Linked DNA regions of Lepisosteus oculatus. The main gene of each other region encodes a partner of the protein of the gene in region 2 in a complex. Links are inferred from orthologs where the notes say so. Each region holds a gene or a part of one and is shown on either strand. Other genes may lie near its edges.

Region 1 (7,174 bases), on a different chromosome or scaffold from region 2:
TGCATGGGGAATTTGTTTTTTCGCAGACCCCAACCTGCTCTCCATGAGACACGCAGACGGGGAGAGAGAAGCTTGGGGTCAGAGCGCAGGGCCAGCCGTTTATACGGCGCCCTGGAGAAGCTGGGGTGAAGGGCCTTGCTCGGGGGCCCAACGGAGTAGGATTCAAACCGGCAACCTTCCAGCCACAGGCGCAGATCCTTAGCCACAGTGCCACCGCTCCGCCCCATAACCCGTTCCCTTCCCCTCCCCCACGCTCAGACCTGTTTACTCATTGGGGTCGTCGCTCTGAAAACATCCGCTGTGTGGTATTTCAGAACCCAGGCATACTCGTCCAGAGGGACTTGAATTAAGGTACCTGGGATCTCGGAGGACATTTCTGCCAGCGTCCCCTGATGTATGCAGGTGCTAAATTTCCCCCCCTGTATGTGATGGGGGGGGTATGTATGTGTGCTCGCAGAGGAAATGCATACCACTGATGGGTGAAAGATGGCACCGATTACAAAATGGTGCAGATCCCCGAGACAGAGCTCTGAATCTAAGGGGAACTTTTGAGTAGGAACTCGATGCAGGCTAAAGCCTTACCCTCTGAGCTGTGCTAATCCAGACCCTGTGATGTCCTTGACGTTATTTTAATGCACGCAACAGAGCACAAGGTAACCACGGCCTCTGGTATTCCAGCCCTCCATCATCTCATTAGTTGACTGGAATTGGCGTGCACGTATTTCATTCCTGCACAAATCAGCCGGTTCGTCCTGCGCCTATTCTTAGTGCTCCCAGTGGGCTCGTGCTTGGGGGTCTTTTGGGTTGTGCGGGGTGGTGATGAGCTTATTTGAAGGGCTTTATTAGCCACAGCACATAACAGCTGACAGAATTACTCCCGGGGGCCAGACACGTGTGGGACCAGCTGTTGCAACCAACCCTCTGAACACACCAGGCGGCCAAATCCCGGTTTGTGCTGGTTGAACAGAAAGAGGGTGATGTGTTAAAACAGACGAGCCTGCATTTAGAGGAGTCCACAGACGTTTTTTGGAAGTTTCCTTTCCTTAAAACAAAAGCTGCGAGTAGTTCCTGTGGGTAGGAGAACACTCCTAAGTGAGCAGTTTCATTTTTAACGCTGTTGGATTGCGCACAAAGCTGAAAGAGATGTCTGTGCACGTTTGTGTGAAGCAGCTGCTGAGCATCCATTCCAGTCCGCTAAAGCATTGGCGAATTAGCGACGTGCTCGCATTCCTCGAGTTGCTATTAAAAGAGGCAACAAGAACCGCACGTTTACTGTCAGGGCCTGCGAGAGACTGCGAACAGGCAGGGCAGCAGAAGGCGCGTTTCGGCGCCGACGGGGTGCCGGGAGAGCTGGAAATGGCGGAGGGGAAGTGGGCGTGACGTCACGGGCGAGAGGACCCGGATATTTTCCTGCGCGCGGCTCGTGTGGCACGGGACTGCCGGAAGTGGGGGGTGTCGGGCTTGGCAGGAAGTCGAGATCGGGGGGGAAGCGAGGAGGCACTCGGGCTTACTGGCCCACTACCTACCCTGATGCGGTGAAGTCTTTTATTTAAACACCAGATGGCGGTGACTCTTGCGCGCTTTGTCAGGCCGAGGCGGACGAAGTCGGGCAGCGATGGTCACGTGTCTTTCCGCAATCGCCGCGCTGCGTAGCGGGAGAGCCGTGCGTGGAGACCGTGGTTCCTATGGCAACGCCGCTATGGCGGACACGGCGGCCTGTTCTGCAGCTCTGGCGACGCGCCCTTGTGTCTGGCCGTGGGCTCATGAACAGCCATTCATCGGCCGCGGGTTAGCCTCAGGGTTATGGCTCCGTATTTTTGGGAGAAATGTTTTTTTTTTTTTGAGAGCGTGTTGCATAGTAGTCCCGAAGCGCTTATCGCGTTGAACATGGACACCGACTGAATGGTGTCTTTCCGGTAGAGAGAGATTTGGTCACATCACTTTTTATTGGGATAGAAGAGTGCTTTTCGGCACTTATAAACGGCTTTTAAAAACATTGCGCGTCGGCAGATATTCGCTTTTTGATTTTGTTCCATCCCTCAGGAAGGTTTTATGTTCCTTTGCTACTTTAAACGTTAAGCCTTTTTATTAAGGTTAATAAATCGGAACAGCATGACCACCTCTTAAAACGCGTTTTTGATAAACGTGGAGGGAACATTTAAAACCAAAAACGTGCGAGATTTAAAAAAAAAATCAATGCACACACGAGTTTTGTCACCTTCACCCATCATTTGAAGTTACAGCACCATTCAGCGGAAATGTGCAATAATTCATTTTCCAATTTCATAAGATGACACCTTACGTATTCACTTTTGGAACACACGGGGGCAGCAGTTACTTTAAAGTGGGTTTGAAACGAGTCGTGTCAGCTTGAGCAATTACTGCATTCAATAAAAGCAATCAGCTTAATCTCCTTCTTACATTCGAGAAGCTGTTTCTTCAGTTAATACGTACTGGGGGGAAGCCTCTTATCATTGTTGGGTTTAAGGTGTGATACTCTTTCTAACACTGTTTTCTCTTTACACTCAGAGGCTATCCTGGAGCTCAGCTGGCTGGCGTGAAGTTGGCGTGTGCTCTCCGTGTGCTGCCCGGAGCTGCCCCGCGTGCCCCGCCAGCTGCCCAGAGCAGCTCTCATGCGATGACTGTTTTACAGGTCACGCAGACTTGGCTACGAATCCACGGACTGGAATATCACTGATGGGCGCTCTTTTTAAAAAAAAAACGAAAAGCGGTGGAAAAAAATATTGTGATTTAAAAAAATATATATTTAATAAAAGTATTTGAGTATCGGTGCCGTCCTCTTTCTCTTACCAAGGTTCGGAGTTGTGTGTTCCGAGCTGCTGTTGTATGTTTTTCTTCCAGGTACAGTTACCGTCTACAGAGCAGTACTCGGGTGTAGCTTAAGGGTGGTTGTACTGTGCAGGGGAGAAGTGAATACTTGGAACTATGCACTTAGATTTGAATGTACTTTTCGTGACTGCTCCTGTTCAGACCTTTCAGATTGGGTGCTCATTCACGAAGGCTCCAGCACTACGAGTACCTGCCTTCCTGCCTTCAATAAATGCATGTCTAGTTTCTGGAATTGATGGAGTTTGCATCCCCGTTGCTTCCAGATTCTTTTTAATCCTTTGGGAATAGTGTCTATAAACACTACTGTCGGCTGTGTATTCCGGACACTCTAGTTGCTATGAAACGAGCTCTGTGCGATTGTGATGTTGTGATTGTTTCCCCACTGTGGCCGAAAAAGAGTGGTGAATGTGGCTCCGTACTTGAAACCAGAAGACCGGGTTCGTATTGCAGGTGGGACACGGGTGTCATACCCCTGAGCAAGAGGGTTTGTTCAGATTGCCCCGGTTACGTGCCCAGTTGTTTAAACTGGTGCCAATGCATGTTACCTCAGATAAATTGTGCCGTAATTGATCAATCTTAAGAGCAGTATAGCCCAGCTTCCTCCCGTGTTAAGTGGGAGCACCTGCACATATTAGGCAAGCTCCAAAGCTCCTCTATTTGGTTGTCAGCAGTCGTTTTTACTATACTGATATTGATTCCAAATCAGCTGGGTCTGTTGGAGCGGTGTGGCGTAAGGCACCTTATTTAACAGTAGCAGCAGTGTCCCAACCTGGGTCTTGAGTCCCTTCCACTCTGGGGCTGAGGGCCTTTAGGTGCCCCGTTTTATCCTTCTGGAAAAGCACTAATGCTCGAGAGTCCGGTACATTGATAGTCCGACCAAAATAAGGAGGGGGGTGGGGGATTTCGGTGTTTCTGTTGGCCTTTCTCATTGGACACTCAGTAGCAGGTCTAGATGCGGGGGGGCCTAGAAACTTTGTGGGTCCTAATGCCCCAGGGTAGTGAAGGGGATGCTACAGTGTAAAAAAAACATAAAACCAAGGTCCTGACTGGTTATTAGGGATCCCAGGACATTTATCAGAAAGAGTAGGGCTGTTGACCCCAGTGTCCTGGCCAAATTCCCCCCTGGTCTTTACAAATCATAGCCACCTAATAATCCCCAATTATGACCTGGCTTCATCACACTCCCACCTGATTGCTGATCCTGCTGGTGCACTCTGTCTGCCGTTGCATCCATAAAAGTGCTATATAAATGTGTAAGAAATCATCATACCAAGGCCTTATGCGACAACCCAGGATCAGCACTCCCCAGACATTGGAAGTGAGGACGAAGACCAACAGTGAAGAAGGTTCTCGCTCCTGTCGAGGCCTGCCCGGCTATCGTCATCACAATGTCTAGTTCCAGAATTGCGGGTAACCAAATTGCAGAGCTAAAAATAGCTTATTTTTCAGACTGCATACTGTATTGCAGAAGAAACTAGAAGCTCGACTGGAAAAAATGAAAGCTTATGTGCTTGCCTGTTAAGACAATTTGTATTTTATAACTTAGCACATGATCAGCAGAAACAAATTACTGCGCTCGTGTTTTAGGAGACATACTCTCGTGTTACATTGTCCATTGACACGGGTTTCCTACAGCTGTTGGCTTTGCATAAGAGAGACAGTGAAAGTAAGATGCGTTAAAACAGCCTATTCCACGTTACCAATCAACAATGGTGATAACGTAGTCGCACAATCAATAAAACAAAATTACGAGCGTGTTCATTTCTCAATAGCAGATCATTCGTGATATACTGCAGTAGGCTGCTCATGTCCTATGAAGACTGTTCACAGCCAGCTGTAGAAAGATACACAGAAAGGCGATTGCATGTTTTCTCACATACCATGTCTCTATATTAAAATACATGACAGTTTTGTTTGACCTCTTCTGTGTTACGCTCAGTTATAACCCCCCCACATGTTGCTCGGCTGCTCAGACTGCACAGTGTTAAGTGTCGGCTCGCACTGGAAGGGGCGGCGCTCTTCAGCGCTTCGACAGCAGCCTCAGTCTTCACCGTGTCACGTTTTTTGTCGAACGATACAGGTTTTGGGGGTGACCGTTTCATGACAGCGTGTTATGGATCACGGGGGGTCTTTCGGGGGGAGGAGGGGGGCTGCGACGCTCTCGCGCACTCGGGGGGTCCGCACGCGCACAGAGAGTGGAAGAGGGAAAGAAAGGGGGGGTTGGAGCAAGGAGACCTGGGAAAAAAATAGCAAGGAGAGGGAGGGGGGAGGTGTGTCCTTCCCTCTCATTCACCGGTCTGCTGTGCAGCGGAGGAAGAGGGCTGGCGAACTCGGGAGCTGGTCCGTCCTGTACCCCTGAGCGGCGCTGCGCCAGACCCCCGCCCGGCTCTCGCCGTGAGCAGCAGCAGCAGCAGGGTGTGAGCGGACAGCCGGACAGCACCCATGCGCTAGGACCGGAACCATGGAAGATGCAGGGTGAGTTTTGCCTCGCCGCTGTGCCCCTGCGTGCGCCGGGACTGAGACCCCTCTGCCCCTGCCTTCAGCCCCCTCGAATCTGTGCGCTGCCATCGCGTTTGTTTGTTTGTTTTTTTTTTGGGGGGGGCAGCATTTCTGCCGTCTTCCGCTCCTCGGCGAGGCGGTGCTGTACAGGCATGCAGCAGCAGCAGCAGGTGGGGGTGTACCGGTACCTCCCAACGTTTCGCTCGGACACGTGATGAGGTGTTACCGTGTAGCCGAGCCCAGTGATAACTGTCCCAGGACCACGCACAGCCCCGGTCGGAAACGTACGGCTGGCCACCGCAACTGCTTGCAGTCGACACCTCCTGCCTGAGCGGGAGGTGTTGATCTTTTTTTTCGACCCTGTGCAAATCCGAAAGAAAGATTTGGATTGTTTACAGGCGGCACGGCAGGATGTCGTGCTCAAGTTTAGTGGCGAGCCCGACCAAACTAGAACGGGTGATTTTTCTTTTTCGCCAGGTGTGCCTGTACATTACCTGTGTTTTGACGCGCAGAATTATTGGTTAGGAAACGTTAAAAAGGAGTAGATAAGGCACGGTTATTAAAAACGTCAAATTGACTATTTTTATCACGAGTTACATCGCTTATACATTTTCAATATGGAGATCACGTGAAAAACACGAGCTTCGCTTTTGCCGTTTTAAGAAGGATGAATATTCACGGTATGAGCGCTTGTAACGCCGGTGTTCCTGATGCTTCTCCAGTGTGACATTTCGACAAGGGCTCATGCCAGACCTGAGATCTGTGACCTTTCCGTCTGCAGTACTGGATGAAATTATACAAGGTTTACATTTTTAAAGTTTACTGGGAAACCCTTGCAATTCAGACTTTATTTCTCTTTAAAGCTGGCTGAAAAAACCTATATCCATTATTCCCACATCGCAGAAATGATTGTATACTTTTCCATTGAGAAGAAAATCTTGCCTGTTGTAGTCAAGTGTTCTCTTTCCCCTCTTCATGACGCAAAGGACTCTGGTAGTAGTTCTTCATTTGAAAGCATTTCGGGTATCACATTTGCCCTCTTGCAACAGTACCCATTAAAGCGAATTCACTGGTACCTTTAATTGTGTATGGGACATAAGGAGTCTTGTGATGGACTGGCCTCTGTCCTGCCTTGGACCCGTTGCATGCTGGGATAGGTTCCAGCTTCCCTGCGATCCTGGATTGAATGAGTCTGTTAGAACATGGATGGACGGACATAGGGAGTTTTGTTCTTAACTGAGTAGTTTTTGAGAAAGCTTTGAAACTGAGGTTTTTTTCCCTTCCTCTTCAGTTGCAGCTGTCTTTGCAAAGATACTCCAACTAAGGCAGTAAACATAGGATCAGCCTTTTGTTATTTCATGTACAAATTCCTAAAACCTTAAAGTGGCTTAATTTCCCTTGCATTGAAGTTTGTTAGGCCCTGCTGTGGTCAGTTTGTGAACTCCTGCTGTCTTTGACAATCAGCACTCATTTCAGTCTTGAAAGTTACAATTGAAAGTAGATGAGATACTTTTGTAATAGCTGTGTTGGTGTTTGTTAGCCATTGAGAAGCTTTTTAGAATTTCTGAAGGGGGTACTTAAACCTGGTGTTTTACAGGTGGCAGAGTAGATTGAGTAAGTAAGCTATTGACCTGAATTTACTGTTCATGTCAGGGCCAGGCTGGGTCAAAAGTGAATTCTGCAGTCCACTGTGGGAGTCTTGTATGAGACCATATGACACCATTACTGTCATATGCTTTGGGGTCAGGGTTTGGAACGTAATAAGTACAGTATTGAGTGCGTAGTGGCTCTCCCCTTTGCAATATAGCACTATACAGTCACTATT
Region 2 (7,949 bases):
GGGTGAATCAAAATTGTAAAGCGCTCCTCCTTCAAGCAGGCTCTCCTTGCTCCACTCTTTTCCAGAATATTTTTCCACTGTTTTTTATTTTCTTTTTTTTTTACAGTGATTAACTTCTGTTTAGTGACTGACGAGGATAAATACCCGTCAGGTCCAGTGCAATACTTCTTGCAATAAAGAATTTCTCAGCAAACAACAGACGTCTGGAAAACAGTTTTCCATCCTTGGCTTGTGGAAGATCTTTAGGATTTGGGGTTCCTTACTGGAAAAAGCTGGAGATGGGGAGCATGCAGCTTTATTGTACAAGCATTATAAGCAAGGAGGTAGCCATTGTACATATCGCTGGATCTTCCTGTCAAAATCTTGTAGCCATTTGCTCTGTATTTGACTGCCTTTTATATTGCTGGGTTACTGTAAAATAAACTGAAACGACATCCAACTTGGATTTCTGTGTGGTACCAAGGTACACGGCTTGTTTTTCAATAAAAACACCTGCAAACACAACAATGTCCACCAGGTGGCTGGAGTTCACCATGTTTAGTTGGATTCGGCCGAGCAGTCGCACTATCTTGACGAAGGAGTACATTGAAATCTGGCAAAAGATTCCGGGGGGGGGGGGGGAACTGTTAAAATAAGAAATTGTACCCTCCCAGTCTCGGGACACCTACAGTAACCTGTCCTGTCAGAAGATGCCAGCACTGCTATGACTGAAGATGCGAATATTTGTGTCCGTCTTAATCTCCTTTCTTTAGGTCGGTCATCCGCTAATTAAGGCGGAATGAAGGCGTAATTAGGTTGACTTATTGGCTTAGCCCCGGGCGGCGGGCTGAGGGGACGGCTGTAAAGGCCTGAGCAGTGTGAACCCCCCGCAGGGGGAGCTGCTGCGCGGTCGCAGGTGGGGTGGTGGGACGGGGGGGACAACATCGGGACTCGGGCGCTGGAGGCCGGAGACGGGCAGGCCTGGGCTTGACGGCACCCAAACGTCTGCTAGAAGCAGCATTATGTTGGATGGGAGCGTGCCCAGGAAAGATTAAAAAAAAGCTAAATGTCAAACTGTTTGCAAAACAATAATGATTAAACCTAATAAATTAGTGAATCCTCAAAGAGTTTCAAATACAGGGTGTTTAGGTATACACGTATGTAATAAAGTTATCGGTTATCTACATAATGTCATAGGATCATTTTAGCGTATATATTTTATCAGGTGTTTATATGTTTTGTTTTTTGCCCATTGGAAATCTAAAACAAATACTGTGCATGAACTTATCTCAGATAGTTTACGGAAGAAACGCTGTTTCGTCTTCCTACTTTTCATTGTGAAATTAGCCTGTTTCTTCCTTTGCAGTCGCCGCACACTGACGCAGATCCCAACTCGAATTTGTATAAAATGCGTAGAATAATACTGCCAAAGCATAAAACGGCAAAAAAAAACTTAAATCCGTCTCTTAACACTCGGGAAATAGCTGTGCTGGAAACCACGGCACCTTTGTATTGTAATCTTAAACATCTGAAACTGCAAAAAAGGTGTAATTAAAATATATCACATCACTAGCTTCTATGTAGTTGAGAAAATGACCTGGCCCTAACATAATGTTTCAAATGTTATGTTTATTTTTTCTGTGACAAATTATCTAGATCAAATACGGTCATTGTAAATCAGATTTTGTTAATATCACACTTATATGAAAGGGTCACGGATTAAAATTTTGTTTGCTACCATTTTAACATTGTTTTCATCAAGAATTAAGAAAATCCTTCAAAAAACACTTTTTCTTAGTCTCTGCGCTCACAGAATATACCATAACTTCTGAGAAAAAACATTTTCAACGAGCTCAGTAATGCATTCTGGATGTTTCATGACGTAAGTAGTAACTTGGTGAAACATTAACGCTTAAATAGGATGGATTAGTGTAACACTAAACTCATAAATTAATCCCCCTCTTTCTCCCACAAGAATTCAGGAAGCTGAAGATGTAGAGGTGGTTGTTTTTTTTTTCAGCCAGGCAAACAGCAGTCTGAGCAGAACAGCAGAGAACGACCAGTAAGGGAAGGACAACAACAGTATAAGTGAGCCAAATTGCAGGAAAACACAGATTAAGCAAACTGCAATTGCAAAGAGACAGTATAAGATTGGAGCGCTGATTATTCTGGCCTGCTTTTCGCAGTTGTTTTCTTGTTTTCTGAGGAGGACTCGTTCTCTCTGAACCGAGAGAGAAGTCACGTGCGCTGTTCAGGGCAGGGCCCCAGCCCGGCCTTCCCTGCCCATGTGCTCTCACTGATAACCCGGAGGTCTCCGATGCCACAGGTGGAGCTCAGTGCATTTCCCCGGAGATAACCAAACTTTTCTGCTCTCCCAGCTCCCTGGAACTGAATGTTGCCTCTGCAGTGCTGCATATTTTCACCTTCTTAAGAACACGAGTTCTATCTGACGAGCACAGAACTTAAGTGTTCCACGTGCTTGTAGCACATTTTATGGTTTGTCCTTGATTCTGTAATTACGTAGGATTTACTCTTCTGCTTTTTTTATGATGCCCTCTATCCTGCGTCAGTTTATAATGATCATTTTTCATCACTGTTAATGTCCCGTTCAGTTTGATGGACAATGCTCCTTCCGGTACGCTGGTTATGTGTTGGAGAAATATGAGAGAGTTACCGAGCTGCATGCAGAACAGACAAGGGGGGAGACTGGAAGAGGGATTGTCCCTTTGAAGCTGAGGGTTACTCAGCAAGCCAAGTGCCTGCCCCACAGTCCAGAATCAGGCGCAGCACTCGCACTGCAACCTGCACTGGCTGAGCTCCCAGGTGTAGTGACTTGCACATTGTCACACAGTGCCCGGAGAACAGGAGGCCAGTGTTTTAAAAAGCTGATATTGGACACCCAGCTTGGCAGTGAGCTGGAATGAAGGAGCTGGGGCTGACGTCATTCGGATTGCAGTGGGCCAGTGCACCACGTGGTTATCACTTTAGAGTCCTGCAAGCTTTCTAGGTCTCTTTTAGGTCATCCCTAGCTACTTAGCTGGAAAAGATCATTCTAACTAGGGGACATCATTTATGGGGGGGGTATATGGGATACTTTGTCCCCCTAAGCCCATTGGGGGTGTCAAAATGTCTTACTGTAGCAAAGTGTAAGAGAAGACAAGCCCCAACATTCCAATTTGCTCCATCTTCCAAAAAACACTTTTGGCAATGGAGCACGTGATATTGTAGACGGCACACTCTGCCCCAACACAAGTCGCAATGGGGCAAACCAGGAGGACTTAAATTATTACAAAGGGTACCCCAGTTCCACATCTTGATCTAGAGCAGGAGGCAGCCCTCCCCCCCATCATTTCTTGAAATGAAATCTCTGATTCATATCAAGTAAACAGTTTGATTCAGTTATTCAAGAATCTAGCCGGAAGAAAACAACAGAAGAGACTGATTTATGGGAGTTCTTGTGCCTTACAATGTGCAGTCTGCATGGCACATTTCAGTAATTGCCTTAAACCAATACTTTTATCAGACAGCAATGCCCTCTGTGCCATTTACCGCAACTTCGTCCAGCCAGGCAGATCTGTGCCCTACACTTTGTCTTGCTGTGGTGCGTGGCACACGGCCAGCGAACTTTCATTGTGTCAGGGCAATCGTGACAGGCACTTAAGAACAGCTTAATTACGGCCCTGGTGTCCAGTTTCATTATCTCCACAGCAATTTCCACTGTCTGGGTTATCTGGGGTATTTGTGCTCTGGTTTAAGTATTTCTTTTAAATAAAACACAGAGGTACTATGCTGGCCACAGGCCTTTCATATTCACACAATGCACTTACACTATTAATTACACTGTTACACTGTTAATTACCTCCGCTTCTGTTTCAGTCAGAGGGGATGTGCAATCAAAACAAAAACAGGAAGTACTCCTTTACACAGAGGGTTGTGGGAGTGTGGAACAAGCTCTTCAGCCAAGCTGTTGAAATAGCGTCTTTCACAAAACAGCTGGATGAGATCCTGTGGATCAATAAACTACTTTCAAATGAGTGAAATGGGACAAATGGTCTCCTCTCATCTGTAACCATCTGTTCTTAAGGAAGGAGCACCTGAATAATTTGACTTAAGTCCACTAACACAGAATATGTTTGCATGGTACAAGTTGAATGTTTTGAAAAATGCATAGCTGGAACATAGGACTGGAAACGACCAGATTGAAGAGAATCAGGAATAACATTCACTTGGGAGCCCATTGATAAATATTTGGAAAGCTTGTACTTGAGTGGTCCGAAGAACACCACCTAGTGTAAGTAAGAACACCCTGAACTGCCATGAACGTGAAGAACAGCTGTGATGAGAAAATGCCCATTTGTTTGTAACTTGTTATTGCCACACGCCAGGTTTATATAAAGACCCTGTCCCCACGAGTGCTCTCGCAAGCGCTGACCTGATGTTTTTTCATCGATGTTTATCGGCCCGTTTTGATAGAAGCACACGAAAGAAAAAAAAAACGCGATACGCTCGTCGTGACACCATATATCATGTGTTAGCAGTCGCGCAGAAACGGGATGAAAAACAACGAGATAAACAAGTCGGAAGGTTCTGGTTTTAAGGGCTGCGCTAATGAAAACCAATAGGACTGTGTGTCTGCGCCTTTTAAAAAAAATCGCCCGTGTAGCCCTTTTTCTAAAAAAAAAATAATTGGATGACGCCGGGTAGCCTTCTCCAAAATCCATTCAAAAAGTGAATATGATAATAGTAACTTGAACAGCAATGGCAGAAGAAGATTCGTGTTAGAAAGCAGATACCGATCCCACAAGACGGCGGGCTGCGCACCGGGTCTCCGATTCTAGGCGCTGTAGTTCGCACGTTTTCGCCCAAGCAAGGTGTTTTGGTCTGGCAGCGGAGGAGGAGCCGTGCGGGTGTCCAGCCAGTGCTAGGAGCCGCCTGCTTTCTGTTGATATCGGCAAAGCGTCTGTGCGCTCTTTAAAAGGCTCCTGGCGCCTGCAGACGTGCACAGCGCACCACTTGGCTGGGGACTGCGCGGCTGCAAACGCGTGTTTTCTGAGATGTCGTGACAGAAGCACTTCTGTTTCTTGGATGTTTACAAAGACGCTTTCCACCAGACTTCGGACCAGATCCGTGCGCTGGGTGTATACCGCGAAGGTGTTTTCTACTTTTTTTAAAGTGAAAATTAAAATTGCGGAGTTGCCTTGTTCGTTTTATTTATATTTTTTTTAACAACAACGAAGGAATATATCGGCGGGACCACTTTGTGTGTGTGTTTTTTTTTCTCTCTCCCTCTCTCCTCTGTTTATGTTTGTGACAACCAATCTAAAAATAATTGTTGTTGTTGTTGCGGCCTCGAAAAACACTGAGCGGACGTTTTGCTAGCAAAGACGGGGGTCGAGGCAGCCGAAGCGCTAAGGCTGCATTAAGGCTCACCTTCTGGATACTTAATTCGCTCCAACTTCATCTCCGCCGGCTGCTGCGCCGTTCTGTGCCATGGTCTCGTGTAGAGGTCCCTTCCAGGTATAATTTTGTTTTTCGGCCGGGGCCAGAAAGGTCATAACAGCCATTCAAGAAGAAACTTCAACCATGTCCCAGGCTGAGGTCGACCTGGCTGGCTGCGGTTTCCCAAATCTTACTGCAGTTCTGGACGACGACTCGTGTCTGCCCAGCCGGGTGCCGCCGAGGCGACGGAGGCACTCGGGAAATTCGAGAAGAAACTCGTACCGCTTCAATAAGAAAAACGGCATGGAGCTGGAGCCCCTACTTTTCGACGGCTCACTCTCCAAGCCCCTGTCTTGGTCCTCCGAGAACATCTTATCGGAGAGGACCGTGACGGAAGAAGTAAAAGCGGACTCGCCGCTGCCCGGTCCACCCTCACCTGCCACCGAGTCCAGCGCGGCGCCCGGCGCGGACACCCCGAGCGCGGACGACGCGCCGCCGGCAGGCGGCTGGGCTGTCCCGGCGCCGTCCCGCACTCTGGACGCCAGCTCGGACTCGGAGGACGAGGGCGCCCAAATCAAACAGCAGAAGGCGGCTCTGTCGCGGGCGGCCTCCGAGAGCAGGTGGGAGCAAGAGGAGAAAGAGGAGATCGAGACCAAAGCGGTGGCCACCTCCCCCGACGGCAGGTACCTCAAATTCAACATTGAAATCGGAAGGGGGTCTTTCAAGACGGTGTACAAGGGTCTGGATACCGAGACGACGGTGGAGGTGGCGTGGTGCGAGCTGCAGGTAAGAGGGACGATGAGAGAGGTGTGTTTCACTCCAGAGGTGATACTGCTTTTATTGCGGGTTGAAAAGCCCCGCGCTGTTACCACATCCCGGAGCTTTGTGTTTGTAGAGCACGTATGTGTGTGTAACTTGTGAGAGAACGTGTTTTCCAAAGTTTAGAACTCGTCTGGGTTTCTCAATTGCGCTGCTTTGCGCTCCACTGAAGCACGGAATCGCGGTGCTTTAATTAAGTTCGGCCTCTCTGAATGCGGTCTCATGCAACCACTTTCAAAGAGGTGCCACGCATAGCATTTCTCCAAAACACATGAAAGTGCTGGCGATGAGCTGTCCCTTACTCATACCCCAGATCTAACCCTAACCAATTCTGCAACCTCTGCTGCCACAAATATTTATTATTACAGGTACCTACAGTATGTATCCAATATGCCTTTTGGAACAGCAGCCTTTCATGAGTGGGGATGCTGTTAAAAATGTATAGTTAATAATGTTAATAATGCGTACATGGTCTCTTTGAAGATGTCACACTGGATGCTTAAGACAACATTCAGATAAAACCAGGATTTTAACTTCATATCAATGGCTTCTTTGGCTGCATATGCACAAAAGAAGTTAATTGAGCTTATTATTCTGATGACACTTGTTTGTCTAAGTTAACAGCCTGGGAGCTGTGACAGCTTTCTTCAGCCAGGTTTGATAGAGTTAACCCCGAAAATACACGGCGAACACCCAACTCACAGAAGAAAGCCCCTGCTTGAGTGGAAACTTTATTCCACAGAGACTGAAGGTTTTTTTTTGGTTTGAGTTGCATTCTGTCGTACTTTTGCCACAATCCATCAATGAGAGAAGAGTTTCGAAACCACTACTCCTTTGGAGATTTCGTCAGGAGGGGTCTGCTTGGAATGAAAATGGACTCTGATGGGGCTGATTCACGATGCAGGCTCTGACAAAGTTAACCCGAAAGGGAACATGTTCAGAAACTAACAGGAACCAGGGGGCACACGTGGAATCTGAGGGGAAGTGCATTTACAATCTAAGAATAGGAGTCACCCTTTTAGAAAAAGTGTTGAAGCACAAAATATCCAGCAAAGCTCTAAAAGCTGATCTCCTGAGTTCTTTTTTAAAAAAAACAGCTCGGTTGGCTCTTCAGTTCAATTAGCTACTAGCAACCAAACAAGCTAGATTGATTCATAACCTTCTTATGTGTGTTTTGGTCCAGATGCACAATGAAAATGTAGGACATACGTGGCTTAATGGGCATATATGTGCTGTAATGTTATTTACATTTTTAAAAAGTGAGCAGATGGGTTTGTTGATTCTGAGTAGTGTTGTTCTTTGAGGTAACAAAATCCTAATTCCGGGTCATGTGATTTCATAGAACTGCCTGGTGCGCAGTGTTTGGCATTTGAGTTACATTTGTCCACATGAGTTGATTCAGAATCTTGCAACTGCAATGAAAAAAAGTTGGGTTTAAAGAAAGACACGATTTGGAAAAAACATGGTAAATGGGGGGGAAAACAGTAAAAGACAAGAGATCCCCTAGTTTCTACCGGTACAATGAAGGCAGAGGGTCTGTGTGAGAGGCAGCCAGGAGAACCAGATGTTCAGCTTCACATTTCCACCGACCAGTCCAGAGAAACCAGGTAACTGGCTCTGTGAGGTTGCAGGAAGTGAAAGTCCAGGCAGCAGTGGAATCTTGCCCTCTGCATAAAAATGATCTATAGAAGTTATAAGCTGTTCGGGGGTAA

The links. The genes of interacting proteins can lie anywhere in the genome.
Region 1: the proteins of serine/threonine-protein kinase WNK4 (region 2) and klhl3 are in contact, whole or in part, in a crystal structure (PDB 4CH9), measured with the Homo sapiens proteins. The link is inferred for Lepisosteus oculatus from reciprocal best matches to the Homo sapiens genes WNK4 and KLHL3. Residues at the interface, in NP_115763.2 of Homo sapiens: Glu557, Pro558, Glu559, Glu560, Pro561, Glu562, Ala563, Asp564, Gln565; in NP_059111.2 of Homo sapiens: Arg339, Phe355, Gly357, Ser358, Leu359, Arg360, Thr386, Phe402, Gly404, Gly407, Ser432, Tyr449, Gly451, Ser481, His498, Arg528, Tyr577.

Annotation. Positions count from the first base shown.
Region 1 is NC_090706.1:38,768,318-38,775,491, forward strand, and holds the start of klhl3 (kelch-like protein 3), read left to right. Parts: upstream 1-4,139; 5' UTR 4,140-4,260; intron 4,261-5,094; exon of another isoform or gene 5,095-5,158; 5' UTR 5,159-5,311; coding exon 5,312-5,325; intron 5,326-7,174. UniProt on the Homo sapiens protein: Substrate-specific adapter of a BCR (BTB-CUL3-RBX1) E3 ubiquitin ligase complex that acts as a regulator of ion transport in the distal nephron.
Region 2 is NC_090723.1:4,339,842-4,347,790, forward strand, and holds the start of serine/threonine-protein kinase WNK4, read left to right. Parts: upstream 1-4,913; 5' UTR 4,914-5,562; coding exon 5,563-6,204; intron 6,205-7,949. UniProt on the Homo sapiens protein: Serine/threonine-protein kinase component of the WNK4-SPAK/OSR1 kinase cascade, which acts as a key regulator of ion transport in the distal nephron and blood pressure.